4 linked regions of the Diceros bicornis minor genome follow. The protein of the gene in region 1 interacts with the protein of each later gene in a pairwise test. Links are inferred from orthologs where the notes say so. Each region holds a gene or a part of one and is shown on either strand. Other genes may lie near its edges.

The links.
Region 2: the proteins of TCL1A (region 1) and LSM3 interact in binary tests that used the Homo sapiens proteins (3 or more experiments, as listed by UniProt). The two-hybrid records come from large-scale screens. The link is inferred for Diceros bicornis minor from reciprocal best matches to the Homo sapiens genes TCL1A and LSM3.
Region 3: the proteins of TCL1A (region 1) and PRTFDC1 interact in binary tests that used the Homo sapiens proteins (3 or more experiments, as listed by UniProt). The two-hybrid records come from large-scale screens. The link is inferred for Diceros bicornis minor from reciprocal best matches to the Homo sapiens genes TCL1A and PRTFDC1.
Region 4: the proteins of TCL1A (region 1) and CADPS interact in a two-hybrid assay, tested with the Homo sapiens proteins (3 studies listed by BioGRID and IntAct). The two-hybrid records come from large-scale screens. The link is inferred for Diceros bicornis minor from reciprocal best matches to the Homo sapiens genes TCL1A and CADPS.

Annotation. Positions count from the first base shown.
Region 1 is NC_080763.1:41,264,897-41,272,117, reverse strand, and holds the start of TCL1A (T-cell leukemia/lymphoma protein 1A), read left to right. Parts: upstream 1-4,210; 5' UTR 4,211-4,243; coding exon 4,244-4,363; intron 4,364-7,221. UniProt on the Homo sapiens protein: Enhances the phosphorylation and activation of AKT1, AKT2 and AKT3. Promotes nuclear translocation of AKT1. Enhances cell proliferation, stabilizes mitochondrial membrane potential and promotes cell survival.
Region 2 is NC_080741.1:88,655,374-88,662,953, forward strand, and holds the start of LSM3 (U6 snRNA-associated Sm-like protein LSm3), read right to left. Parts: upstream 3,002-7,580; 5' UTR 2,939-3,001; coding exon 2,918-2,938; intron 468-2,917; coding exon 357-467; intron 1-356. Other genes in the region: XPC (DNA repair protein complementing XP-C cells), read left to right, coding at 3,218-3,320. UniProt on the Homo sapiens protein: Plays a role in pre-mRNA splicing as component of the U4/U6-U5 tri-snRNP complex that is involved in spliceosome assembly, and as component of the precatalytic spliceosome (spliceosome B complex).
Region 3 is NC_080775.1:24,169,890-24,177,105, reverse strand, and holds the start of PRTFDC1 (phosphoribosyltransferase domain-containing protein 1), read left to right. Parts: upstream 1-4,210; 5' UTR 4,211-4,246; coding exon 4,247-4,294; intron 4,295-7,216. UniProt on the Homo sapiens protein: Has low, barely detectable phosphoribosyltransferase activity (in vitro). Binds GMP, IMP and alpha-D-5-phosphoribosyl 1-pyrophosphate (PRPP). Is not expected to contribute to purine metabolism or GMP salvage.
Region 4 is NC_080741.1:62,199,071-62,206,178, reverse strand, and holds the start of CADPS (calcium-dependent secretion activator 1), read left to right. Parts: upstream 1-4,088; 5' UTR 4,089-4,597; coding exon 4,598-5,041; intron 5,042-7,108.

The sequences.
Region 1 (7,221 bases):
TTTTACTTAGAATATTCTTGTCCCAAATTCTCCATTCATCTAGAGATGAAATTTCCTCCTTTACGGGCAAAGTCTATCTCTTTTACTCTGAGCTCACTTGATCATCAGCCTTAATTATGTAAAATATGGCCCAGACCTAGGAATAATTAAAAAAACCACTCTAGGCAACTAGCACGGATGCCTTAACATCCACATTGCAGAGTTTCTGTGTTTTACACATTGGCGAGATCTCAGAACCTTACAATCCTAATATCTTGGTGTTATGGTTCCCTGCACACAAAAGATTGGAAGCAGCAAATTAAAAGTAGAACATAGAGAAAAAAGTAAAGTACAGGCTTGGGGTGAGGTTTATAGTGAGAATTGGTGGTAGAAAGAATAGCTTTAACATTTTCACGGTTATTTGGTTTTATAAATCTTGTTCACACTTCAAACCCACTAACTCAAATCTTAAAGAAGTGGTTCTCAAGGTTCGCTACACATTAAATCACCTGAGGACCCCCTTAAAAAAAAATGTAATGCTTAAGCCTCAGTCTCAGAGATTCTGGTCTAATTGGTCTGGGGTGGGGTCCAGGCACAGGTATTTTATAAAAGCTTCCTAGGTGATTCTAATTAGCAGCCAGGGTTGTGAGCCACTAGCTTAGTGGTTCAGGGCCATTCATTGTAGGGCCCAGAGGCCTGGATGCCTACGTAGCCCTGTATAGGCTCTTTACAGTGTGCTACAATCAAGGTTAGGATGACATTGGTACCAGGAGTTTCTTTTAAGAGGAGAATGCTTTATATATTAGAAATGATTTTGACAGAAAATAAAATAGCCTAGAGCGAAATGATACAGAAACGAATGTCCAACTCTTGTGTCATAGTTAGAGAAATCTAAAGGGAGCTGGTGGAATAAGGCAGACACCCACCATCTCTCTCCTGATCCTCCCCCTGTAGACCAATGGGATCTTGTTACAATGCAGATTCTGACTCTGTAGGTCTGGGGAGGGCTCGAGACTTTGCAGTTTTCATGAGCTCCAGATGATGCTCCAGGGACCATACCTAGGGCAGCAAGGCTGTAGTTCACACTGATGGCCATGACTCACCCTCGAGCCCCTTCTTTGGAACCCAAACAAGAAGGATGGCTTCCTCACTCTCGAAGAATGAATTCCATTGGGGTCCTTAATATCCAGAATCACTCTGCTCAAAACCATAGGCTTTCCTGAACTAATGTCATGAGTGTATCCATCTCTTCTCTTAATCGTTCCCTCCTCCCACTAGGCAACTTTATCAGGGGATCAGGGACTGTTGAGTTAGAAATGGGCTTAGAGACCATAGAGCTCGGCCCATTCATTACAAAAGCTTGGCAACGAGGCTGAGATGGCAAAGGGTGGCATATTTCACAGGTGAGAGTGGCAAAGTCAAAACTGGATCCAACTCAGGAGAAGAAAGCATCAGTTAAGGATTCTAGTAAAAAAATCAGTCAAAAATAATTGCTTTGTATTACTTTCTACATGCAACATCCGCTTGATTATCTCCATGGAGCTTGCAGACTAACAAAGAGTCAGAAAGGAATATACGACTCTAAAGCTAGGCTGACTGCCCTCAGAGCCCTAAGATGGGGCAGATAGCATGCTGGAGAGGCTCCCCTGCCTCTGAGACCACACAGCAGCTATTGTTTCCCCTCTCATGGAATTTCCATAAAGAAGGCTCAAGGCCTCCACAGAAGCTGCCCAATGAATTCCTCAGTCATCCTTATTTCACTTTTCATTTTTTGGAACTCCTTCTCAAATGATTTTCCAAATCCTACAAAGAATGACATATACTCTTGCTCAATATTAAGAAACCCTCATGTGAAAATGAAGAAATATAACATTCTTTCAAAGTAGGGGGGATCATCTTCCCAGGACATTCAGAAGGGAATCCAGCCAAATGGGTCTGATTCTTGCTCCATTATTTGTTTCTTTGTGCTGCTTAGAAAAGCAAAACAAGCGCTAATGAAATGGACAGGCCCAGTGGCATTCTGGATCCTGGAGCCATCTATGTGGCTGGGTCAGTTGGCCACACTGGCTCCTGGGTGCCCCCTTCCCTTGCCACAAAAGGCCATCCCAGAGGCACTGTTTAAGCTGGACTTGTTAATCATTTCTGACCTCAAAGCTCAGGACTCGGCTGAGACGTCTCCAACAGAGCATATTACCACAGTATCTTGCTCCCATTGGCTGTCTGGGTCTGGAATTAAGACCCATCCACAGGGAAATCACCCTGAAAGCCACAAGTCTGAATATCAAATACAAACACCACTAGGGGCTGCACTGGCAAAGAGGTTTGCTGGGCTCCTGTCTCCTCCCTCCACTCCCAACCTTACTTGGCTTTTGTCTTCTATTTTGTGTTCCTGGTAAATCCAATTATATGTCTATTACTGTAGGCCACCTCCGCACCTTGTTGGGAATTAGGCTGTCTGGATAGGCAGAGTAGCAGATACATTCCTTTGCTATCAGGGGATCAGGTGTTAGGCTCATTGTCACTTTCCTGACGTTTGAAAAGATCAATTATTTTCTTAGTGCCTAGTCAGAGAGATGGGGAAGAGCTGGAAGGCTAGGCAGCAGCAGCGGTGATGTTTGAGCAATGATGCTGAAGCTCGTTTACAAGTTTCTCATTGTACTTTATTTTCTTAATTGCCTTAATGCGCGTGTGTTACTCCAAAATGAAGTGAAATTGTTTTCCTTATTTGCTGTAATTTACAGAGAGGTTTGATCATGTAACCCAGGGACTTCAAATCCATTGATCTTGGGGTAGAGGGAGGGGTTTCTTTTTAAGTATTCCTTTTGAACCATGTTTTCACTAATGAATTCAAAGCCTATAAAGGGAAAAACCCATGTTTCTTCACCACCAAGTTTCACAATAGCTATTAGATGACCACAGCATCATCAAAGCCGTGGAAAATACATGTCTTGGGTGTGGGAGGGGGCGGGGGCTTCAAGAGTTGCACTTTGCCAAGGAAATTGATTCTGACACCCAAATCCACAGGCTGAAGGTGATGCTGTGAACCTGGCAAACACCAGGCCTGGTTCAGGTTTGCATGGATTTCTTCTGATCCCACAAGGTGTGGCGGGGGGCCCTGGCTCTGCGTCGTCTGGCGTCAGCTGTGAGTTCCAAGCAGAGGCTCGGAGTGCCGGTCTGGGGTGTGGCTTGACCAGCTGACTCGGACAGTGGGTCTGGGCGTCAAGGGGAGAGAAGGACGCTGGTGCCTCAGACAGAAGAAAGGACCAAGATACAGAACAGGGTACCTCCCCAGCAGTGGGGAATGGGAGGGGCGTGGAGGTGAGGCTGGCTGGCTGGGGTCCTTAAGGAAGTCCAGGGTCTGTTGGGCTGTGCCTGCGCTCCTAGACGCTGCCACGGTCCCAGGACATAAGTCTGGCCAGTGCTCAGGGCCAGCTCTGGACACTGCCCGGTCGCCCCACGTGCCACGCGCCCGCCCATCCTGCCTCGCGCCCAGCCCACGCGCCCCGCCCCACTACCTCGCGCCCCGCCCCACTACCCCGCGCCCCGCCCCACTACCCCGCGCCCCGCCCCACGTGCCCCGCGCCCCGCCCCACTACCCCGCGCCCCGCCCCACTACCTCGCGCCCCGCCCCACTACCCCCACGCCCCGCCCCACGTGCCCCGCGCCCCGCCCCACGTGCGCCGCGCCCCGCCCCACGTGCGCCGCGCCCCGCCCCACGTGCCCCGCGCCCCGCCCCACTACCCCGCGCCCCGCCCCACTACCTCGCGCCCCGCCCCACTACCCCCACGCCCCGCCCCACGTGCCCCGCGCCCCGCCCCACTACCCCACGCCCCGCCCCACGTGCCCCGCGCCCCGCCCCACGTGCGCCGCGCCTCGCCCCACGTGCCCCGCGCCCCGCCCCACTACCTCGCGCCTCGCCCCACTACCCCGCGCCCCGCCCCACGTGCCCCGCGCCCCGCCCCACGTGCGCCGCGCCTCGCCCCATGTGCCCCGCGCCCCGCCCCACTACCTCGCGCCTCGCCCCACTACCCCACGCCCCGCCCCACTACCCCGCGCCCCGCCCCACGTGCGCCGCGCCCCGCCCCATTACCTCACGCCTGGCCCTTTCGCACGTCCCACCTCGCGCCCCGCCCGCCTCCCCGCCCCACCGATTGGGGGCGCCCGCACGCGATCCCGCTATAAAGTGTCCAGGCCTTGCGTCCCACACACCAGCGAGAGGCCTGGAGAGGCTGCGGGTCTTGCGGCCTGGACCGCCCGAGGCGCCATGGGCGAGCTCCCGTTCTTCAGGGCGCACACTGCCTTTCACCCGGACCGCTTGTGGATCTGGGAAAGGGCCGTGTATGTGGACGAGAACCAGCGCACTTGGCTGCCCATAACCATCGAGGTATGGCCGCTTCGGGGCCAGGCCGGGCGGGGCAGCATGGGCGTCACCATCCCTGGCCCGGCCTGGGGAGCCAGAGACGTCCCAGGCCGCGCGAGGCCCTCCAGGAGCCCCTCAGAGGCGGCAGGGTGAGGGCGGTGGCGGGAAGGCTCAGAAGGCCTGATCCGCCCAGGGCGGCCAGGGGGCTCACAGATGAAACCACTTTGAGGTGGGCTGTGAAGGATGAGTAGGAGTTCTCCAGTTCGCTGGGAAGGAGGGTGGGGAAAAACACAAAGGCATGTTGGCCAAAGGATGGGGACCCATTGCCTCTGGAGTGTGTGAACATGATCTTGAGTAAAATAGGACTTGTCTGGGTTTGAGGGTCCTAAGCCATAAAATGGGAATAACATCTCTCTAAAGATTCATACACGTGGCTGATTATCAGAATCTCCTTAGGTAAGCCTCAGAAATCTGTGTTGTAAAAGGACCCTCAGACAGATTATGATCACCAATTTTGGGGACCACTGCCCTAGAGTTTGGGTTATTTCATATCTCCTCTATGCTTTGGAAAAAACAAACTTCACAAACAATACAGTAGGATAAAAGCCAGCATTGAATAAATGTTGACTTTGTCTTATGTGTGATGCCTTAAGATGGAGCTTTAGTTAACTTTTTTAAAGAAATATAACTCTCTTACAAGTACTTTCCACCAGAGCATAGATTTCCTCCAAGAAACTTAGGTGAAAAATGTTGAAACTCTTTCCATATATAAATGGAAGAAAGCATAAAAGCAAAATTTAAATACATAATATTAGAACATTTATGTGATATATTAGCAAACAGCAAAAAGTTATTGAGTAGTGCCTGTGTCCCCATTTTACAGATGAGGAAACTTGAGGCATAAAAATGTAATATTGTCCAAAGTAGAACTGCTAGTAGGTAATGGGCTTGGGGTTCCAGGTTCTTAACCACCATCTAAATTTGCATCTTTATTGAAATTCAAATTTTTTATGTATACATATATATACTTTTAAAAATCAAGTTAAATATTTGCTTTTTTTAAGTCAAGTATTTGAAGAAAATTTAAGTGACTATCTTTTTTTAATCTCTGGTTGAGGGGTATCTTCTTCAACATGACACTGAAACCACAGAGTTTTTCACATAATCATTATAAATTCTGCACAAAACATAACCCATTAGCAAACCCATTTGCCTCCTGTAACTGCAAAGACTAGTATTCTTAATATGTAAAGATTTACTTAGCCAGCCCTCGTGGTCTAGTGGCTAAAATTTGTAGTTCTCACCACCTCTGCTGGGGTTCGTTTCCCGGTCAGGGAACCACACTATCCATCTGTCAGTTGTCATACTGCGGTGGCTGTGTGTTGGTGTGATGCTGGAAGCTGTGCCACTGGGATTTCAAATACCAGCAGGGTCCGCCATGGTGGACAGGTTTCAGTGGAGTTTCCAGACTAGACAGACGAGGAAGAAGGACCTGGCCACCCACTTCTGAAAAATTGGCCATGAAAACCGTGTGAATAGCAGTGGAGCATTGTCTGATACAGCACCGGAAGGTGAGAGGATGGTGCAAAAAGACTGGGCAGGGTTCCGCTCTGCTATACAGAGGGTGGCTAGGAGTCGGAATTGACTCGAGGGCACTAACAACAACAAAGATTTACTTAAATCAATAAGAAAAAGATGAATAAGCAAACTAAAAATGGTTAAAGGATATAGAAGACTCTAACAGAGCAAGAATGGTGACTTCCACACTTATACTTTGCAGGATGATCAGAATTATTTTATAATAGTGAGTTCTAATTTATTTCATAGAAAATTTGAAATAACTATTTCCACTTTGGAAAAATAGTCATTGAACAAACAGGAATGCCTAGTTTATATGCCAAGCACGATTCTAGGCTGTGGGGGTTTGCAGTGACTGTGATAAAACCCCTCTACTTGTCAAGCTGACATTCGAGGCCAGTGGTTAGTTGTGTAGGAGAAGGAAAGTGGGATGAGAGGTGATCACGAGTGGTGTGGGGGCTTCAGGCAGGACCCCTGGGAGCTTAATTCGCATTTGCCTGTCATATTTTGCCCATGATTTTATTTGAAACCTTTCTGAACCTCTATTTTAGGCATGCCTCTCATTTATATCTTAGAGTTGGATTTTGCTGAAATTTGTCTTTCTAGACATACGGTTGAGCAGAGACCTGCCTAAAAGAAGGATGTGAGCCCTGTGTAGATCTAGGGGAGAATGTTCCAGGCAGAGGACACAGGTGCCAGAGCTTACTGGGAGTGTGGCACGTCCCAGAAATAGCGAGGGGGCCTGTGTGGCTGCACCGGGGTTGGGGGTGAAGGACAGGATGACAGGAGATGAAGGAGGCAGGGGCCCGGCTACGTGGGCCTGTGGGCTGTGGTAAAGATTCCAGTTCATTCTGCCTGCGATGGGAAGGCGTCGGACGGTGTCGAGCGGGGCAGTGACGTGATTTTTGGATGCACACCCTAGCTGCTGTGCAGAGACTTGATTGTGGGGCCCAAGACGAAGAAGGCAGCAAGTTAGGAAGTTATGGCGATAGTCCAGGCGAGAGATGATAGCAGAGGGGCAGTGGTGGAGATGGCGAAGAGTGGTCTCACCTGATTCTGGGGTCCGGGATATCTTGGGATATATGACAAAATAAAGAAAAATCAGAGAAAATCCATCAGCTGAAATAGCTAAGGAAACCGCATGGGTGAGGAAGCTCAGGGCCCCATGGCGTATCCTAGCAACTAGAAGTTTGTCAGGGAGAAGTGAGCCTTTGGTGGCCCTGTCTGGGTATCTGGACATGTGTGAGTGCTGGTCGTCCTGGCCCAGCCAGCGTCTCTGAGAAGAGCGTGCATGGCTTAAGGGA
Region 2 (7,580 bases), on another chromosome or scaffold:
ATGTCAGTAATTTAAAAAACATTTAAATAAGAATGGAGGACAAACAAATGTTATTTAAAAATAAACAGAAGTGAAAAAATGAAAGAAATGAATATGTTCTTTAATAAACATTTCTGTTAAGAGAAAACACGTTAAAAATATGAATAAATTATAGCTGTATTTGGCTTGTAGAAATATGGGTGACTTTCTACCTCCATCTCATCTACACACTAAATACTCTTCCACAGTGGACAGTTTTTACATTTCAAGCGGGTGAGGGTAGGGAGGGATGAAGAGGAAATAATCTGATTTCCAGGTAATTTAATAAATTTACTTACATGTAATCTACCACCACGTAATTTAATAAATTTACTTACATGTAATCTGCCTCGAAGCTCTCTGTCATTTCTCATTTTCACATAAATTCGCTCATCCAGGCTGAGCCTGATGAGATCCAGGGGCTCTTCTACGGTGTTGGTAGTTTGTTGCTGATAAAAGAAACAGGCTTATGATACAGTACTAGAAAGAGCGTAGTGTTTGAATCATTGCTATGCTGTGACTGTGGGCAAGTTACTTAACCTCTCTATGCCTCAGTCTCTTATCTGTAAACTGTGGATGACAATAATGCCTACCTAACACTGCTGTTGTGAGCCTTAAATGACATATATGAAGCCTTAGAACAAAGCCTGGCACATAGTAAGTGTTATATAAACGAGAGCCAAAACATACATCCACAGGAAGGAGTTACACAGCAAAGTTATCACGGCTGTACTTTGTTCCCTCAAAATCCAAACTGCCTGACCCAATTTCAGGGTATAGTGAGTCACTCTCAGGGACTTTAGCCCTGTCTCAAATATCATTTAGTAATTTGAAAAACATTCACTTAATGACTACCACACACTAGTCAGAACGCCAAGCAGTGAGGAAGGTTTGAGGGAGACCACGAGGTCAGTACAGGGCAGGTTGAGTCTAGGGTGCTGAGTGGCTGGTAAGATGCATATATTTAGCAGGAAGTAGAGAATACTGGTTGAAAGTACTAGCTTTGGAGTCAGGCAGTGTGAGCTCAACTACTGACTCTGACACTTATATGAATTGAGATAAAAAATCATGCCACCTCTAATTCTCAGGTTCCTTGTGTGCAAAATGAAGAAGCCATAATTTTCCTTTCATGATTCTTGTGAGGAATAAATGAGCTAATGTATTTAATTAACGTATTTAAAACAGTACCTGGCAAACAGAAAGTACTTATAAATGGTTCAGGTTATTACTATTAAAGAACTGTTGGAAACAGGTCTCAGAAAGATCAGGGCTAGGATGACTTGGGGTCATCCATACAGAAGGGAGAAGCCAGGAGAGTTGACGAGATTACTGAGCTTCTTCAGGGAGTACATGAGGCCAGGGGAGGAAAGTGACCCAACACTGCAGGCTCTACAGCCTTAAAAGGTTAGATGAGAAAAAAAGCAATCCTGACCTCAATTGGGCCCCACCCCAGTTCAACAGGCGTTTGTTAATGGGCAGCTAACCAACTACTGGATTACAATGACACAGCAGTCAGTCCCTGCTCATTTTAGTGGGGAGAGGCAAATAAATAGACAATTATAATATTGTAAGAATATACTCATGACAGAGCCCTACGGCTCCTTTAGCCTCAGTCTGGGATGCCCACGGTCCACACTTTTCATCCTGTAGCTTTAAATACTGCCTTTTCAAAGAGGCCTCCCTAATCATTCAATTCATTCACTCAATAAGTATTCGAATGTTTCCAGCACTGTTCTAAAACCTGAGAACAGGGGCCTGCCAAGTGGTGCAAGCGGTTAAGTGCACGCGCTCTGCTGCAGCGGCCCGGGGTTCGCCGGTTCGGATCCCGGGCGCGCACTGATGCACTGCTTGTCAGGCCATGCTGCGGCGGCGTCCCATACAAAGCGGAGGAATATGAGTATGGATGTTAGCCCAGGGCCAGTCTTCCTCAGCAAGAAAAGAGGAGGATTGGCAGACGTCAGCACAGGGCTAATCTCCTCACACACACACACAAAAAAGTAAAACCTGAGAACAGAATAGTGAATAAAACAAAATTCTTGCTCTTAAGGAACTCACATTTTAGCGGAGGGAGAGAGACATCAAACAAAGACACATACACTTAATATGAACAGATAACACGCTATGAAGAAAAATAAAGCAGACTGGGCCTAATGCTATTTTATGTAGGTGGCCAGAGAAGCCCTCTTCAATGAGGTGAGGTTTCACTAGAAAGCTGAAGAAGCTGTGGCCTGATCCACAAAGACACCTGAGGAAGAGCATTTTGGGAAGAAGGAAGAGCAGGTGAGAAAGCCTGTGGGACCATCAGTTACTCTCTACACCAGTTCCTTGTTTGTGTCCTCCATACCACATCACAGTGCCTACATAACGCATATATTTATGTTTACCTTTCATCTATCCTCCCCCAGAATATAAGCCCAAGTGGGGACAAGGGTCACGCATGTCAATGCCGGCGTCCTTGGGGCTTAGAACGGTGTCTAAGCAAACGCTGATGTTCACTACGTATTTGCTGAATGAGTAATAACGGTTGCGCTCGATAACGATAACTCCTTACTATCACGCTTTGTATCAGAATCCCGACAGCTCCGCGAGGCAAGCAGGAGTAATTATTCCCATTCTACAGATAAAGGTCAGAATGAAGACAAAGGGAGCGACGAACGGGAGGAATAACTAGTTTTCAGGCGGGCTTCGAACTAGAAAAGATCTCAGGGCTTGAAGCAAAAGTCGCAGGGGGCGCGGTTAGCAACGGGCCGATTAAGGCCATGGTGACCTGGAAAGAGGCGGCACGATCGGCCACCTTCCCGTGAGCTTCGAGAAAGCAACCGTGGTACGCAAAGCCGAGCAGGGCCAGGGCTGGGAGAGGAGAAGCCGCTCCGGAGCGAGCTCCCTAGAAGACACTCACCTGGTCCACGTCGTCCGCCATGTTTCAAACCCTGCGCCCTTCCTTGCCTCTCGCGAGAGCACGCGAGCTCCCTCCTGTCTCCGGAAACGCGAGGACGCAATGCACCGGAAGTGCAAAGAAATCTGTTTTGCACCTCCTTGCTTCCCGCTGTTCGCCTTGGTCTTTTGGGGCTGGGGCGGAGCTTCCTCTGGGGGCGGAGGCTTGCCCTGTGAGGAAGGGGCGTGGCTACGCCTGGCGCAGCCAGGGGCAGCTTCCCGCGGGGTGGTGCGTCACGCGAGCAGCTAGTGTTGCCCGGGCAGCATGGCTCGAAAGCGCGCAGCTGGCGGGGGCCCGCGGCGACGCGGGCTGCGGGGCCAGAAAGCCAAAGGGAAGAGCGTGGCCCGGCGTGAGGAGAAGGAGGCGGGTGAGAGCGAGGCTGAGCCGGGCTTAGAGGGGGATGCCCGAGGGCGGGAGACAGGCCCGGGTCGGGGAGCGGGGAGGCCGGCTCCTGGAGGTGGGGGGCCGAGGAGACCGCGTTACCGGGGCCAAGGGAGGCAGGCGCCGCCCAGGTCCTCCCCACGAGGAGTGATGCGCCCTCAGCGGCTCCCCTGGAGCCCGACCCCATGGGAGCTGCCCTGCGTAGCCTCTTTCCTGCTCCCTGTTGCCCACAGGACAAAGTCCGGCCTCCTGGCGGATGCCGAGGGCTGAACAGGGGAAAGGCAGTGCAGTTATTTTGTGTCCCCAGAAGACGGATGGACCAGGACGTAGAGTGCAGTAGTGTGCTGACTCCCAGAATATCTTCAGCTAAGTCTCACCCCAGAGTTCCAGATTCGGATCCAACCTGACTGACTCCTCCACGTGGATATCCAATAGACGTCTTATATTTGTCATGGGCAAAGCAAAACTCTTGATTTTTTCCCCTGTAAGCCTGTTCCTTCCCCGCCTTTTCCCATCTCAGTAAATGATGCCTTCACCTGCTTGTAAAAGCAGACCCCTGGTTTTCCTTACACGCACACATCCTGTCAGTCAGCGAGTCCTGTCAGTCAAACCTCTGAACTAGATCTCCACTCTCTCCACTTCTCTTTATTTCCGTGGCCACAGCCTTTGTCCAAGCTACTGTCACTTCTCAGTTGAAGGACTGCGGTCACCTCTTTACTGGTCTCCCTACTTCTTTTCATTCCTCTGCAGTAGTTCTCCACTCAGCAGCCCAAACCATCTTTAAAAAAAAAAAATCAGATCATGCCATGCTCCTACTTCAAACCCTTTGTGGCTTCCCGTTGCTCTTGGTGTGAAATCCAAATTCCTCACCATGGATTACAAGACCCTACATGATATGGCTGCTGCTACGGCTCCTGTTGTCTCCTACCACTCTTCTTTGCCAGATACTCTCATTGGTGGCCTCCTTTCTGTTCCTCAAACATGCCATGTTATTTCTCACCTCAAGCCTTTGCCTTTGATGTTCCTTCTGCTTAGAATGTTCTTCATGGCTTTACTGTGCCTGATTTCTTCTATTCCTTTAGGTGTCAATTCAGACACTCCTTGAGCGTCCTTTCTAAGGTGGTCTTCCCGGGATACTCCCTATCACACAGGCCCTCAACGCCCCTGTCACCGTCTGTAATGATCTTCTTAATTTATTTGCTTCCTTTTGATTGCCTGTCTTACCAGACTTTAAGCTTCATGAAAGCATGTCTTATTTTTTGCAGTATCTTATCTTGTCACTCTCCCCATATACTAAGTGCTCAATAAATATTTTAAATAATTGCAAAGTGCATGCTGTGGAAAGGATTTCTGGGCTTCCTGAGATAACTGGGTAGAAGGTTAGGTAACCAGCAAGGACTCAGACACTAGATTCAACAGTTCTGTGATTCTGTATATAAGTTCGTCGTCCATTAGGAAATAGTCAAATGGTAACAATTTTTAAACTTAGAAGGTGATTTACCTCACAATGAGTTCCATTTTATTCATTCATTTACTCATTCAGATAACATTTTCTGAGTACCTACTGTGTGCTGTACATGGGCTAGGTGACATGGGGGAGAGATTTCATGGAGGAGCTTAGAATATAGTAGTGTTGACATTTACAAAAAATATCCAAGGCAGAGTACGCAGGGTCTGATATTGGAGAAGGTGCAAGGCTTTGTGGCTTCTGAAGGAATAATCAAGTTTGACTGGAGAGACTGAGGTGTGCTCTCTGGAGGAGTTATGTGTGATCTGGGATTTAGGATGGGTAATATTCAGCAAATGGTCGTGAGAGGGGGTTGTATTCTAGTCAGAGGGAATGCGTTCTGAATATGTGGCAATTCAAAAATTAAAAGCATTCCTCCCAGCTAAAACACTTCACTTGGGCACCAGTTTGGTGTAGCTCCAATGCTTGGTAGTTATATGCACTTAGGTAAATTATTTTGGACAAATAACACAGCTTTTCTGAACCTTGTCTGTGAACATACTACTATCTTGCAGGGTGGTTGTGAGTTTTCAGTAAGAGCATATAAGGCTCCTGGCACGGTCCATGTTACATAATCATTCGGGTTAGCTCGTAACAATTCAGCCTAAATATAGTTAAGGATGCCCCCAAGCTTCACTGAAACTGCCAGCCAGCGGAGCTAGCAGTAAGTTCCCAAGGCAGCTTCCGGGAAGAGTTGCAATCTTTGCTGTGGTTGAGGGGAGGAGCAGGCGTGGTTTGGGCTGCAGGTGACACTGATTTGGTGATCATTGAGTGTAAGTTCTAGCAGCACCTCGGGGCATGCAAATGAAGGTGATGCGTGGCTGCTTTCAGCAGTTAGGGACAAAGAAAACATTTCTTCCACATTATTTCCTTGTTTCTATTAGGGCACCTCTAGTTTCTTCATATTTCTTCTCTGTGTTAATGCCTTCATTGATGTAATTCATTAATTCCTTCAACAAATATTTATTGAGCGCCCACTGTTCCCAGGCACTGTTCTAGGTACTGAAGTTATGGTAGTGAACAGAACAGGCAAGGTCCCTGCTCTCATGATGCTTATAATCTTTGGGGAGGAGTAGGTAGGGCAGACAATAAGACGTTAAAAAATAAATTCACATGGTGATAAGAGCTATGAAGAAAATAAAACAGTTGCTGTAATAAAATGGGCATGGGGGTGGGGAAGAAGCAGCTAAGTCAGAATCAGTCGTCAGGGAAGGCCTCTGCAAGGAGGTGACATTTTGAGCCAATTACTGAATGCCCCGATGGAGCCATTCTTAGGAAGTTGTGGGGGAAAAGGCAGAGGGAACAGTAAGTTTCAAGAGTTTCGGGGGGGGGGGTGAGCTTCGCCATTTGGCTGGACACAGTGAGTGAGGGGGCGAGTGGTAGGAATTGAGGTGAGAGAGGTTGTTGGGGCCCTTAGCTTGGAGAACAAGCTAAGGAGTATGTATCTTATTCTAAGTGCTGTGAGATGCCACTGGAAGGTTTAAGCAGGTATTCTTATTAAATCTCAATTGATGACCAAGCCAGCCACAGTGGTAATTCCTGTCCTGCTGAAATAACCATGTTGAGCTCAGGGAGGCTGGTTAGACAGATGAGATAACTCCAGACCTTTGAGTCCTGGAAAATAGCCTCTGGATTCTCTAGGACCAAAAAAACACAGCAAAGGATAAAGGAAAAAACAAAGTCATCCATATTTCTACCATCCAGAAATAACCACCACTAAACAATGGTATATTTCCTTCTAGTCTGTGTTTTTTTATGCAGTAGAAACTCCCTGTAAAAATAACTTTGCCTGCCTAATATTTTATCATATATCATTTTTCTTTGTCTAAAAGATGACTGAATTATATTTCATCGTGTGACTGTACCATAATTAATGATTATCTCATGATTGGTTATTCACATTAGTTTTTAAACTTTTGGATATTATGAATATGAATGATTTTTTTTGATTCACAGTTTTTTGTTTCCAATTCCCCCCCCTTTAACTCCTCTACCTCTCTCTTCAAAGCACAGAAATATACAGCTGTGCCTTATAACCAATCAGATCAGTTTGGTGAGGAAGAAACAGTGTCTGTGAAGTATCCTCCCACTTGGGTTTTTAGATTAGTAAAAATGAAGTATTAGCATCTTTGCTTATTAATAGAGAGTAAAGACCATTGTAAGATCCAGAAATCCTGATTTTAAGGGCACACTACTCAAACCGTCTAGTCAAACCTTTAAGCAGCTTCCGGTCTTGGAATAAGAAATCTGTTCCCCAGATTCTAAATAAGTAATTTTGAAATATTTTGTTTTTCAAAATTTCTCCTTATTTTTTGTGTCTGTGTTAAAATGGCTAAGACATAGGAATGCATAAATTCTTTCTTTTAGAAAGCATCAGTGATTTTATCTACATTAACACAATGCCCATAATGTGAAATTTATTTAAATTAAAGTATGATTTATGGGGCCGGCCTGGTGACATAGCGGTTAAGTGTGGATGCTCTGCTTCGGGGGCCCGGGGTTCGCAGGTTCGGATCCCAGGCATGCACGACACACCGTTTGTCAGGCCATGCTGTGGCGGTGTCCCATATAAAGTGGAGGAAGATGTGCATAGGTGTTAGCTCAGGGCCAATCTTCCTCAGAAAAAAGAGGAGGATTGGCAGATGTTAGCTCAGGGCTGATCTTCTTCACAAAAAATTAAAAAAATAAAAAAAGTAAAGGATGATTTTATTTAGATTAAAGGGAGAGTCTCTTTCCCAT
Region 3 (7,216 bases), on another chromosome or scaffold:
TGGATCAGCTCCTGGGATGTTGCCAGCGGGCGCTGTACATCAACTCTGATCAGAGGAGAATCCACGTACAGCTAAGAGAACAAACAGCTCAGTTCCCATTCCAGTTGCTCCTTAGTGTTCCCACTACACAAGCCAAAGATTTTGTCGACTAAGGAGGTCTCCTTTTTTTTCTTGAAGTGGACAACTTTCCATCAGAAACTCAGCACTGGCTGAGGCACCAATTAATTTTGCATAATCTGCCACGGCACCATTAGATGCTAATCCGTTCATTCACAACCATAAGGCATTGTGTTAGGGTCATGTACATGACTTGTGCCTCCAGCCCTATGGATTTATTTAGTGCTTAGCCCCTCATTCCTGCAGCTGTGTCCTTTCAATGACTGCTTTATGGTGGCCAAGAGAGCTGAGGTTGGCTGCCAGGACTCTGAGATCTGGAGGAACACTTGCACACATTATTCTTCTACTCTGAAGCAATCTAATTCCTGTTCCGGTCAGATGGGGAGATAGCGGGAGGATATCTCTGAAGCAGCCCAGCACTCACTGTCGATATTACTCATGCCTCCTCAAAAGAGCAGGCTAAAATTTACCTGCAGTGTATTCTTCGGTGGAAGGTTAATTACCAATGAAAGTGTAATAATACAAAACATAATTCTGAATGTAGCTCCTGCCTGTATTTGTAAAAACTACTATGGAGCCATTATTTCCTTTACTCTAAGACTACACATTGGATCCAGTCTGCTTCAAACAAGGGGCCAGGAAAGAGGGCTTACTATGCTAATTGAATACTAATGAGGCTTTTGCTTAAGTCATTTTGTGTTACAATTATTTGCAACTATATTTCTTCTGTATTTATGTAGAGGGAAAAAATATATCTCAAAGGTAGCAAGATTCTTACTTAGCCTGAATATTTGGAAGAAAGTGTCTTGCCACTTTTTCTTTTGTACTTGTAACATTTGCAGAGGATTTTGTTCAGCACTGAGGAAAAGCAAAATGTCACCATCATTATTGCTGGCCCTCGTCCATAGTGGATTTCATCCAGATTCTAACCAGTGACTCTGTGACTAACAATCTGAGTCACTAAGTTTCATATGTTTATGTATTTCAACACAATTCCCAGGCTGAGAGTTTTTTATTTATTTTCATGTTTCAGGACTCATAAAAAATTAAATGCCCTTTTGTATTTCGAATCTAGTGTCACTGAGTGACTGGCTCTGAGCAACTCAGTGCATAGATTGAATTGCTCCTTCAATAATCGATTACTATTGGCAAAAGTTAAAGAAATACCAATCTGTCAAAAGATTAGTATATACTTTCAGGACAAAAGTCTTTAGCTAGGTGGAGAACTCAGGTAAATATAAATATTTGTGTTTTCACCAGTGTAGTAAAACAAGATAATTTCAGAATTTAAAATGCAGGGAAACTACAACTAAAAGAGAATAAAGAGAATGACAGAAAAATACAAGTATGTTTACTAGTTATTAACTTTGTAAAGATGTACAGCTTTATTCTTACAGCTCTTCCAAGGAATATCAGAAAATGGACAGTCTGAGCTAAAATATCCCTTTTTATGGAAAATTCCATTATTTTAATAATTTTCTCATTTTACTGTATCCATTCCCATACCAGCCCCAACTAGTCCCTAGGTTATAACTGTCCTTGATTGGTCACCCTACACTCATATTAAAAAGGCAATTACCCTGTCATTTTCACATCAAATGACTTTATGAACTTCTAGTCATACATTTTCACAGCTTCTCAGATTAATAACACCTTACAGTTTTATAGTATTTTTCACAGGATTCTCTTGCATGTTATCTCATGTTAATATCATCATATGTGGTAGAGTGGAAATGTACTGCCCCCATTTACAGATGAAAAAATTGAGACACATTACATTGATGTAATCGGCTTACCCTCATTGGCTAAGGTCAAATGGATTGTCACTAGAAAAACTGGAATCCTTGTCCAAAGCTATTCCACTAGACATGTAACAGAAATTTGAGATTTAAAAAGAATTTTGCCTCTAAATCCTCATAATGCAAGATTAAGAATAAAGCCCGGACAGATGAGTTGTTATTCTTGGATACCCGTCCTTGCAAATACGATTTGTGATATCAAGTATTATATTGTATTACATTAACGCTGTCCAAAGAATCCAAGTGAAATCAAATCATACAAAGTCTTATCAAAAAGATAAAAAAATAAAATAAATCCTATTTTCATCATTCTGTGGTCTTCATAGGATGTCCTATATAGGTCTAGATAGGATGTTCTTGGATGTGCATTCACAAGATTCCTGTTGTCATTCAAGCAAGTTTCATTTTTTTCATCGTGAACCTATTGGGCTTTACATTTCCTTTCTAAGGAAAGATTTATCAACCGTTTATTTCCCTTACATCTCTCAAAATGCCTGGGCTAACCCACAGTTGTTGCTTTTTAACTTCTGTATAGCGGCTACACCTGTAACTTATTTTGATGTCCCTTGCCCCTAATCTGGCCCCTGCACCCACACCGAGCCTCTTACGGGTGAGTCTGACTTGGCTGCAGTAAGACGGTCCAGTGGGATACCTTACAGTATGGCTCCTGAACCGCCCGCATCACCCTCATCTGAGTGTCTCGGCAGTGCCGATTGCCGAGTCCCATCACACAGCTTCTCCACCGTAACCTGCCAGATACAGGGGTCGGCTGGGGTCGGGGGGGCGGTGGCGGGCTCCTCAAGAGAGTCTTGTGAACCCTAAAGTTTGCTCATCACCACAATGATAGCACTTTTCAGTTCCTGGAAGTTTCAGTGACATTGGTTGTGAAGATGCTTCCTAGGGCTTGGTCTCTGACAATGAAAACAGAAGACCGTCCTTCCTCTTTGGAAAAGAGGTGAGAGGCAGACTATAAAAATGGCCCCAAACAAGGACCTCCGACAGATACGGAGAGAAAACGTTCACCTGTGCGCCAGGAAACACTGTCACCCCGTCTACGGGAGCCAGTCTCAGCCATCCACGGAGCTGTCTTCCTTCCTCGGCGCTGGCTTCTCGGAGAGACCGACAACAAACGGTGCTGAGCAAGGCCACGTCTGAAATGACTAATATTTTTCCAACCTAGAACGACATTGACTGATAACTACTTTCCCCTCAAACCAGGCAAAATCAGCATTCCTCTCCCTGCCGTGTGCCAGAACTCCAAGACGAACAAAATAGTCTTCTGGAGAGGCCTGAGTCAGAGAATGTGTTCAGCTCGAGGCTTCAAACCCCTAGGGAGGCTGCAAAGAATGCGGCGAGATCGCAGACACCAGGGGAGTGAATACATATAAAGGGAAAGCAGGGCCCTTGACGGACGGACAAAGAACCAGTGAGAGAAGCCTTGGATTAGAGGTGAATTAACAAAAGATTCACAAAAGAAGGCTTTCTAATCTGAGAGCACTTGCCTTAAACTGCAACCTGACACAATTAAAATCTGACCATATGTTCTTACAAAAGTGGTAAAGTAGATAATTTGTAAAAATCACCCCCCCACACTCCCACCCCCACCCGCCTCCCCCGGCCAGAATGCGGTTAAGGAAAGGCCCTATTTCAAAGGCCAGATCCTATCACCGCGGGCACGGTCCAAGGTAAAAGCAATCGCATGTTCTTTGAAACTCCTAGCTGGCGGTTCAAGGATTTTAAAAAACACATCCGGGATGGTTTCGTCCACAGCCGTACTTTCTATATCGCAGGCTCGTTCACGGATTTACTTGGGATAAAAAGTGCATAAAAATTAGCAGGAAGGATTCAAGACATTGTTAGCCTGAAAGCTGGGACGACAGCCGTAGGGAGGCAGGGGACGGGGGCACACTTTCTCCTCCCGGAAAGATCGAGCGGCGGGCAGCCTGCTGCTCCCGGGTCCCCGCGGGGCGCGGCGCAGGCGGCGGGGCTCCCGGGCTCGCAGACGGGCACGCGGCGGGCGGCGGCCGCGAGGGACGCGCCCCGGGCCCGCGCTCAGGTGGAGCGGGCGCCGCTCCGCAGCTGCTCCCCGCGCCCCGCCCGCGCCCCGCCCGCGCCCCGCGCCCCCGCGTCCCCGCCCCGCGCCCCGAGCACCGGCCGGGGGAGGGGGCGCCGCGGCCCAGGCGCTGGAGCCGCGCCAGGCACCGGGTCCGCGCCGCTTCCTAACCGCCGGCCGGCCCGGGGCGGGGCGGCCCCAGCCCCAGCCCCAGCCCCAGCCCTCTCCCAGGTCCGTCCCGCGCCCTTCTGTCCTTCCCGCTTTCGCTGGGAGAAACATGGCCGGGAGCAGCGAGGAGGCGCCAGACTCCGGGCGAGGCGTGGTGGTAAATGCAAACTCTGGATTTCGGGCCTGAGCCGTGCGCTCCCCGCTCTCCCCTCCCCTCCCTTCTTGGCACCCTCCTAGATTAAATGCCTGAAATGCATTCGGGTGACAGAGCGGGCCGCTGCTCTGTCTTCCCTCCCAGCGAGCATCGCTTCCGTCCTCCCCTCCCCGCTCCGCCCTCCCTGCGTCCAGTCTGACCCAACGCTTAACATCCCTTCACCCGGTTTCCCAGTGTCCCCCTTCCGCATCCCCCGCGCCCGGGTATCCGCTACTCCAGCCTTAGGCCAGTGTGGTGCCGGGTCCCCACTCCTGCTAGCCACCAGGAGTCACCTCTGGGAGCGGGGAGGGTCTGGGAAGACCCCCGCGTGCTACTCTTGTGGGCCTCTTTCCTTCTGTGCTTCCTCCCGACTCCTCCAGCGCGGGCTTCGAGTTTTGTTTTCCAGAAGGATACTGAGGATACTCGAGGGCAGCTAGGAAATAAAGTAGCTCAAGTGGATAGAGTTTGAGCTTTGAAACCTGTGCTAGGACCTCGTCTTTGGGGCCTTTGCTAGTGCCTCTGAGCTCAGTTTCCTCTTCTGCAAAAAGGCGACGCAGCACGCTGGGCCTGTTGAGCGAATTGCAGAGGATGTGTATAAAATATCTAGTAGTGTATGCAGATGGGAGGATGTGGGATGATGGGTTCCCAGATCAGAGCCGCTTTATCCCTGCGAATCCCTTGAGGAGCCAACCAGAGGGTACCCATCTCTCAGTGTTCTGGAATCAAATCTAGTCTTGACCTGTGGCCGCCAGCTTCCACTCCTGGCTCCCTTCAAGAATGGTTTCTATAGAAGGTGGTGGTTATTGCAGTGTCAGGTTTAGTGGAAACTAGTGGTGAGAGTGGTGGGTGGGGTCAACTTGCCACCCTGAGATTCTTTGTTCAGACAGCCTGTAATTCACAGATGATCTGTCTGTGATTATGAATGAACTGCAGGAGTAAGGGAGTTGGGAAGGAAACACCTCACACTCAAACAGAACTGTTCAGATTTAAATGTGTTGCTCAGTCCTTAATTTCACAGCAGGACCTTTCCCTCTTAAAGCATAAGGAGTTCGTTTAGTTATTCATTCCACACACAATGATTGTCCTGCTGGGTTCCAGGCGGTGTTCTAGGCCCTGGGACACAGCAGGGAACAAGACACAGCCCTGTCTTCGTGGAGCTTACATTCTAGAGAAGGAACGTAGGCAAGCAGTGTCACAGCAAATAAACAAAGAAGATAATTTCAGATAGTGATATGTGCAAAGAAAAGAGGGTCATGAGATAGTGATTGGAGGAGGGCTGAGGAGCACTGCTTTTGCTCAAATGGTCAGGATGGCCTCTTTGTAGTGATGCTGGAGCCACAATCTGAAGGATAAGCAGGAGGTAGCCATGGGACGACTCGGAAGAAGAGAACTGCGAGACAGCGCATGCAGAGTGCAAAGAAATCATTATATCCTGAGAAGCGATCATTACATGCAATTTGTGCTTTGAAAAAAATCACTCCAGTTGCCAAGGAAAGGATGGTCAGGGTGGGGTGAGTGGGAGGAAGATGAAAGTGTAAAAAGGGAAATAAGTTCAATTCTGGACAAATTGAGCCTGTAGGGCCTGTAGGGCCTTGAGGTCGGGATGCACCGTAGGCAATTTGAAATTCATATTTGGAATTCGGGGGAGTGATTGGATAGATCTGGAAATCATCAGCAAATAGAAAACTATCTGATGCTTGGGAGTGGATAGGGATGCCCAGTGAAAATGGAAAAAAATTTAAAACTACTGCTAAGGGTTAGAAACCTGGAAAGCCTCAAATGTGAGAGGCAAAGTGTCCGGGAGAAGCCTGATAGAGAAACCAAGAATGAGTCACAAAGTAGGAGAGAGCAGGCAGAGGGGTAGGCACGTAGGGAGCAGAGCTTTGTGGAGAGGGGTGAGGGGGCTAAGAGGTCATCAAGAGTGTCGGATGCTGCAGAGAGGGCAAGTAGGATAAAGATGGAAAAGAAGCCATTGTATTCAACAATTACAAAGCCATTAGTAGGAGAATCTTTTAAACAACCATCTCATCAGTAGAATGGTTGAAATATAGTACTACTACTTAATAATAGATACTCTTAAAAAAGAATGAGGTAAATCTATATGACTAATAAGGTAGATAGATTCTTAGTCTAAAGAGCAAATGATGGAACAGTGTAAATAGCCCAATCTAATGGTGTCACAAGAAGCCCTCTTGAAAGAAAGGTAATTTTGTGAAAGATGGAGGGACGTAGTGAGAGGGCCGCCAAGGTTGGAAATAATCAATGTAAAATGGAGATAGTCACTGCATTTATGTTATTTTCTCCAGTAGAACTTGGGATAATTAGATTAACCTCAAGTTGGATATAGGCAGGGGGGGCAAATTCAGAGTGAATTCAAGGTGCTGGTGGAAGCCCCTGGCATCTACGGTAGAGAGGAAAAGGAAAGCTCTAGAGAATATGTATACTGGGAAAATAGAGAGCCCTCAAGGATGGGTTGCAAAAAATCTAAGGGAAATTTTAGTACCGATAAAAAAGGGGGCAGGTTATAATAGTGAGCATTTATTGAGTACTTACTATGTGGTTTTCCTGTATTATTCCGTTAATCCTCACAAGTCTTTGAGGTAGGTATATTATATTCCTGTTTTACAGAGCAAGAAGCTGAGGCCCTGAGAGATTAGGTAAATCACGAAGCTCACATAACTGGCAAATGGCAGAAGCAGGATTTGAAGCCAGCTTTTAATCACTGTGCTACGTAGGAAGCTGTGATTGCAGGGAAGGATTTCAGAGGTGGGGCCGCTCTGCAGGATTGGATGTGGCTAATACAGAATAAAGACGAAGTGGTTTGGGTTAAGGCAGGTGAAGGAGCTACAGGATAGAGTAACAGGATCATCAAGGTAGGTATTGGAG
Region 4 (7,108 bases), on another chromosome or scaffold:
AACAAGGTGGTTTTCCAAGACGAGTTCCTGCAAGTAGTATTATTTATCATTGCAAAACATGTTTTGTTGCCTGGACTGAAAGAAGATGTTTTTGTGTGGTTTGATTCTATTATTTTCAGTCTTATGATTATCCTTTAATTCCATCCTAACTCACTCCATTTTACTTTAGCAAGAATTATCATATGATAAAGAGTAATGATGAAGGGTAGATTTCTCAAGTAAAATAAACCATAAGTCCCATAAAATACTATTTAAAATAAGACAGGGATCAATTAAATAAATAAGCAAATATTCTATTATTCAAGGATCTATTTCTGGATTATTTGATCTTTTTAATGTTGTTTCTCTGTCCAATTATTTGTATCCAATTTCTGGTCATTTCATTTATTACAAGTCCTTCTTCCACCAGTTGAAAAAATGTTTAAAACTAAAATCTATTGAAAAACACCTTTTTTTTTTTTTTTTGTGAGGAGATCAGCCCTGAGCTAACATCCGCCAATCCTCCTCTTTTTTTGCTGAGGAAGACGGCCCTGGGCCAACATCCGCGCCCATCCTCCTCCACTTCATATGGGACGCCGCCACAGCATGGCTTACCAAGCAGTGCGTCGGGTGCGCGCCCGGGATCCGGGCCAGCGAACCCCGGGCCACCGCAGCGGAGCACGCGCACCTAACCGCTTGCGCCACCGGGCCGGCCCCTATTGAAAAACACTTTTAATACAACATTTAATTTAATTTTATTGTCATTCCAAGGGAAGTGAGTGCTACTATCGCTCATTTTACAGATGAGGAAACTGAGTTTGAGTCATTAAATAATTTTCTCAGAATAACTCTGCTATTAGGTGCCAGAGATAGAACTTCTTGGGTTGAGAGTCCAAGCACTTAAATTGACATAGGCATACCATAAGGTTCAAATTTTTCCTTTTTGGTGCCTGTGAGCTATTCTTAAAATTAAAAAAATGTTGATTGGATGAGATGATTACATTTAGATACTATGAAATTTATTGTGAGATAAAAAAATTACTTAGTCAAACTATCTTCTAGTAACAAACACACAAAAACATTAAAATGGGCATTAAACTCAGTTTTATTTGATTGAAACATGTTATATGAGTGACATAAACAGCGATTGTTTTTCATCAAAGTGTCTATCAATTGCCAACACGTCAGATATTCCCTCCTACTTGTGGCCTTTTACACAATGACAGCAAATGCTTTGGAGGAGAACGGAGATAATCTAAGCCTAGACTAGAAAACCCTGGTTTAGCATCTCAGTCATTTCCATTTCCCCTAGACTTTGCTTTTAGTGGGTGGGATTTAAAAATTCAATGTTAAAACTTCTACTCACGATATAGTCTCCAGATGGCTGACTAAAATTTATTCCATCACCTTGGGGTTATTCAAGTTTCCTACAAAGCAGAACTGGAGGTGGGGGCAAACAAGCAAGTACCTAAAATAGCTTGTTTGAGGATATAAATACTTACGTGTATCAGAACCTATGGTAGAATTGTACTCTTTAAAATAGGAATATGGATGTTAACAAAAGATAAACACATGTTAAGAGCCTGTGGATGTGTTCTGGGGTTATTTTCTTCCTTGTTCATCAAAATTTGCATCTAGGAAAGCCATAACTCCTGGTTAAGATGCCTAAGGAGTTCTGGTTGACATTTCTTATTTTCACCAGTAGCAAAGACTTATAATATCTCCAAGGATACTGGATTGACTTTTAGCTAAGGTAAAAGATGTCTTTGAGAGGATGTACATTTTAAAAGACAGAAATGCACACCATTTGAAAAAAATTATAAGTATTTCTAGGAAAATCTGCTTAAGTCTCTTTGATTGAACACTCATGGGCGGAATGAGAAGAGTGTAGGTTTACCTGAGCAATGTTATATTTAATACCCATCATAGGTTTATATGATTAACCAAAGGCAGATACTGATTTTATGTTTTAATGAGTATAACTGGGGAAAAAAACGCCACATAACTACAAAGGAATTTGTAAAAATACAAAACTAAACAAATCTTTATTATAGCGATTGAGAAATTCCAAATGGTTCTGAAGACAGAATTCACGGTCACTCTTCTACCAATGCCTAATGTGATAATACTTAAATGCCTAACCTTGCTTAGAGAAGAAATATTTAATTAGTAAATGGCCTTTATCTGGCCTTGAAGAGCACCTCCTCTGCAAACCACATGCTCCCTAGCTAATAATTCATTTCTTTGTGTCCTAAACATGATCTCCCCATTTGGCCAAATGGATTATTATTTCAGCTCTTTTTTTCCTCCTCGATTCACCCTTACCTATCCACACACCATCTCCACAACACTTATACCTTACTTGGTCCCTTGTCTTATCACTGTGGCTTTGCAAATCACTTTATCACTTACAATATCTTCCCTTTTCATCATCCATTCATATGATTCCTTCCTTTAAAATTTAACTCTCTTTGAGAAATATATGATTCTCTTCCATTCCCAACTGCTTCATTCAAGCCAGCTTTTAGGGGTTTACTAACTTGGATTTGTTGGTATGTTGCCTTGAAATAAGTGCTGTCAACCTTTTTCACGTGTATCTGTTGTATCTCCCAAAGGAGATTAGAGTCTTTAAGAGAATGTCTTCCAAAAATTCCATCCACCACAAGCACCTAGAACTTCATGTTCATTCCACTCACTCCACAAAAAGGTGCTGAAGGGCTGTTGATTAATTGACTGACTGGCCTACTGTATTTTCTGTTCCAGGGAAACGAGTACAACATAATTTGAACATCTTTTACTCCTTTAGAAGAATTAAAAAGTGAAGATTGCTAAATTGTAACAATTTTCACATTGCTGGATTATTTAAATTGATACAGAATGCATGATGGCCACAGAAGTTATGTCCTTCAGGTGAGTATGGTGGTGAAGTCAAATATAAGCCATACATATATTACTTAATTTAAGAAATCAAATAGGATTTTTGGAGTTAATGTGAAGTGAGATGTTGTTTTAAGTTCATTTTTAGCTCTCAAACAGATTAGCTAGAAAGCTTCACTTGAATACCAAAGCCTACAGTAAAACTCATGGTAAATTTGAAAATACCTAAAGACAGACGTGATGTAAACTTTAAATTCATGCTACACTTTTACAATAAATCCTACGAGTATCTATGGATAACTAGAGCATTAGAAAATAAATATAGGAGATAGGGTGGCGGGGAGGTGGAGAGAGGTCTCTAGATAGCCTAAGATCCAAGGGTGGCGGGGGTCGGTTTGTTTTCAATCCATCTGCGGGTCGCTGATTAGATTCAGCACGCTGGCCAGCTCCCCGGTCCGCCGGGTTTATTGGCCTAAGTGAAAAAAGCAGGGGAAAGGAAGGCACCATCTGCTGCTTTGAATTAATAGATAACCGAGGAGCAGAGATGAAGACAGTGCAACAGAGTCAACGCATTAGATGGTGATGCCGCTGAGTTCTTGGGGTGTCTTTGTCTGATCTGGAGGTCCCCCCTCCTCCACCCAGATCTCCCAGCGAGCCAGAATGGAGGAAGGGCTGAGCAATGAGAAACCCTTCTATTTCTCTGGTAGGCTTACCTCAGCAGAAAGTATTCCCAGTTCTTGGAATTGAAGAATGTTCATAATAGCTTTTGCGGAGGAGACAAGGGCGAGGGTTCTACTCAAATAGTTGAGCTGCATGGTCGATACATCAATCCGCTCAAAATTTGATTCACTTTTATTTTAATGAGAGTGGACGTATGTAAAGTAAATTGCTGGAATCAGAGTTTACACAGGTGGGATAAACACTCTGCCCAGCCCCACTGCCCCCACGCCCCAGGTGTGAAGAAACCTGGGGACAGGAGATACACTCTTGCTTTCCCGTACGGGATCTCGCCGACTTCCTCTTAGTGAGACCTCTAGATTTAGCGTCTCCAGACAGACAGTCCACTCTACGCTGACAAAAAGTCATCACTGGTTTGTCTATTTCTTCCTCCCCCAAGAACTTTTTGTCTGCGGGAGGAGGAGAGAGGTCCAGGCAGTGAGACCTGGGGATCAAGGAGGAAATTATCCACAAAAGGGAGGGGCTGATGGGGGTGGGAAGGCGTTCGGGTCAGTACCGAAGCTCTGAGACTTTGCGGAGGCTCCGCGCTCTCCCCCCTCCAGCCCTCTGCAGCCACCCTTTACGCCGCGGACACGGGAGAGTTAAGCCAATAAACACGTAAGCGCCGCTCCCTCCCCAATCGGCAAGATGCCTCTTCGGCTCTTGGCTGCATCGACAGCTTGCAACACTCGGCATCTTTTCTGGAGGCGCCTTCTTCAGCGGCTGCAGATGGCATCCGGCTGCGGGCTTGGGGCTCGCAACTGATTCTCCCCCTTGCCCACCTCGGGTCCACGGACACACCTCTCCCTGTCCCTCCTCCCCTCGCTCCTGGGTCTGAGCCCAGCTCCAGATCGCCAGGCGGAAGAAGCAGTCGCGGCGGCCGAGACTGAGCAGCAGCGCGCTCGCTCCCCGAATTCGGGAGAAGAGCCCATCCGGGAGAGCCGACTCCCAGCTGCCTCCGGCGCCCCCCACCTTTTGCACCCCAAGCCGGGGGCTCCAAGGACCCCCTTCCCCAAACGCCACCATGCTGGACCCTTCGTCCAGCGAAGAGGAATCGGATGAGATCGTGGAGGAGGAGAGTGGCAAGGAGGTGCTTGGCTCGGCCGCGTCCGGCGCGCGCCTGTCTCCCAGCCGCACCAGCGAAGGCTCGGGCGGCGGCGCCGGGCTCGGAGGCGGCGGCGGTGCTGGCGCCGGGGCCGGAGTGGGAGCCGGTGGTGGCGGGGCCAGCGGCGCGAGCGGCGGCGGCGGGGCCGGTGGTCTGCAGCCCAGCAGCCGCGCCGGTGGCGGCCGGCCCTCCAGCCCCAGCCCGTCGGTGGTGAGCGAAAAGGAGAAAGAAGAGTTGGAGCGGCTGCAGAAGGAGGAGGAGGAGAGGAAGAAGAGGCTGCAGCTCTATGTGTTCGTGATGCGCTGCATCGCCTACCCCTTCAACGCCAAGCAGCCCACCGACATGGCTCGCCGGCAGCAGAAGGTAGGTGCGCCTGCGAGGCCCAGGGAGCAGCGCCGGGACGCCGCCAGGCGGGCGGGGCGAACAATAGGAGCTGGCGGTGCAGCTGGCGAGGAGGAGGAGGAGACCGCGCCCTGGGGAAGGGGCTACGAGGCCCCCTCTCCGCGGCCAGGCCCGGCCCGGCCCAGCCCAGCCCAGCCCGGAGCGCGCCAGGAGCTACCTGGGACCGGCGAGGGGCCTGGAGCGCAGTGCCGCGTGCTGGAGCCTCCCTTCCCTGGAGCGCCGGGGAGCAAGGCGGGCAAGTCCCGCTTTGTGGCCCAGGAGGCTCAGGGAGTGACTTGCAGCCCACAGCGCCCAGAAAGGCCTTGCTCGTTTCCTGGGCTCCCAGCACTCTCCAGCGGCGGGCGGCTGCGCTCAGCTCCGGGCCCGCCCTCCTGGGCGTGCGCTCGGCGGGCGGGGGCACCCGGCAGGTGGGGGCGCCGATGTGGAGCGAGGAGAGCGCCTCCGAGCTGCGCTCAGGCTAGCCTGAGCAGAGAGCAACCCCAGGGGCAGGCGGAAGGAAGCAAGCCTGGAAGGCGAAGCTTCCAGTCACACTGCGAAGGGCACCCTCCTCCCCTGCCCAGGTCGGCTGATCACCGACTAGGGTTGCCCAGGGGTCCTCGGGCACCGCTTCCCTCTGGCCGGGGTTCCTTCCGATCTCCCTTCCCTTTCCTCACTGACCCCAGAGCAGGGGCACGCCCTCTGGTCCTGCCGGGGTCAGCCCCTCTACCTTCCTCCCTTTGACTCTCTTCTCTTCCCAAGGTGACTTCGCCGCCACCTTCTGGCTCTCCGAGGCCCTCCAAGCCCCGCCGCTGCAGGCTTGATAAAGTGCAGCTGCAAAAAGCCTCACAATTATAAACATCAAAAGCTTTTTGTGTCTGAGGCTGGGGCAAGGCTGAGGCGGCTCCGGGCTGCCTTTGATATGAAAAAAAAGCATCTATTTCTATCAGCTGTTCTCTAGCCAGAGAAAGGAGGGGGCGGTTACTAAAAGATGAGAGGCAGTGGTGGGGGTCCAGAAGAGAAGGGGTCAGGTACCCGTTGGAGTGAGTGAGTTAAGAAAGTCAGCCTTCTATTTTGTCTCTTTTAAATGAATCTGCAGCTCTTGGGCTCTCAGAAAAGCCAGTGAAGCCCCCAGAGGGGAGTGCGAGAAGCCAGCTCTAACCCCATCGAGGTGGGGTTTCTTAAAAGTGAATTTCTCCGTTGCTGTCATTTAAGACTGAATTATATGTTGCTGTAGTCGGGTGTTAGGTTTTCCTATATTTATCCACCCTTATCTTGAGTTAGCACAGATTTCTCTGTTTGTTTTGCTAATATGTGTACACACACCACCCAGCACTGGTGGTTTATTTCAGCTATCACAAGCCTGCCTATCAGTTTTATTAAAAATAAAACTCATTTCCTGGTTGAGAAGTAGCAGGTGGGCTACATACTCCACTCTCCACCTGGGTCAGTGGCCCCTTGCCTTTTCAACCTGTATATTGGACTACACAGAGCAAAAGCATCCTCAGAGCAGTAAGTTTTTTGGATACTCCTTTAAGGTTGGGTGTTGCGTCCACAGAATCTGATATTTCCAATTTCAGCTTGGAATTATGATAATTGTGTCTTTATGGCAGGGGAAATTCCATCTCCAAAATCTATCCTATTAACAGCACCAACCCAAGATGTCCTATTCCTTTGGCAATGAAAACTGTTGTGACTTAAAGAGAAAATAAAAAACAAACTTCCCTTTATCAGTCGAAGGCTCTAGAGCTGTGTCATTTAAGTGGATGCTTAAATCCAGCACTAGAATGGGTAAAGAAGTCTATTCTCGCAGAGACACCCTTCTTCTAAACAGAACCTTCAGCCACCAGGAAAGATCATTGCTAGGCTAAGTTTCTCTGATCCGATTGTATGTTTTACCTGAATCCATTGAAAGCTGTGGTTTTTGAGGAGTAAATGAGTTCTGTTTTTACACATGACCTTAACATCAGAGAGACTCCAGGACAGATTAATAACACTAGCATTTGGTCAAACTATTTTTAGTTATTGCTGCAAACTAGTGCTAAATACATA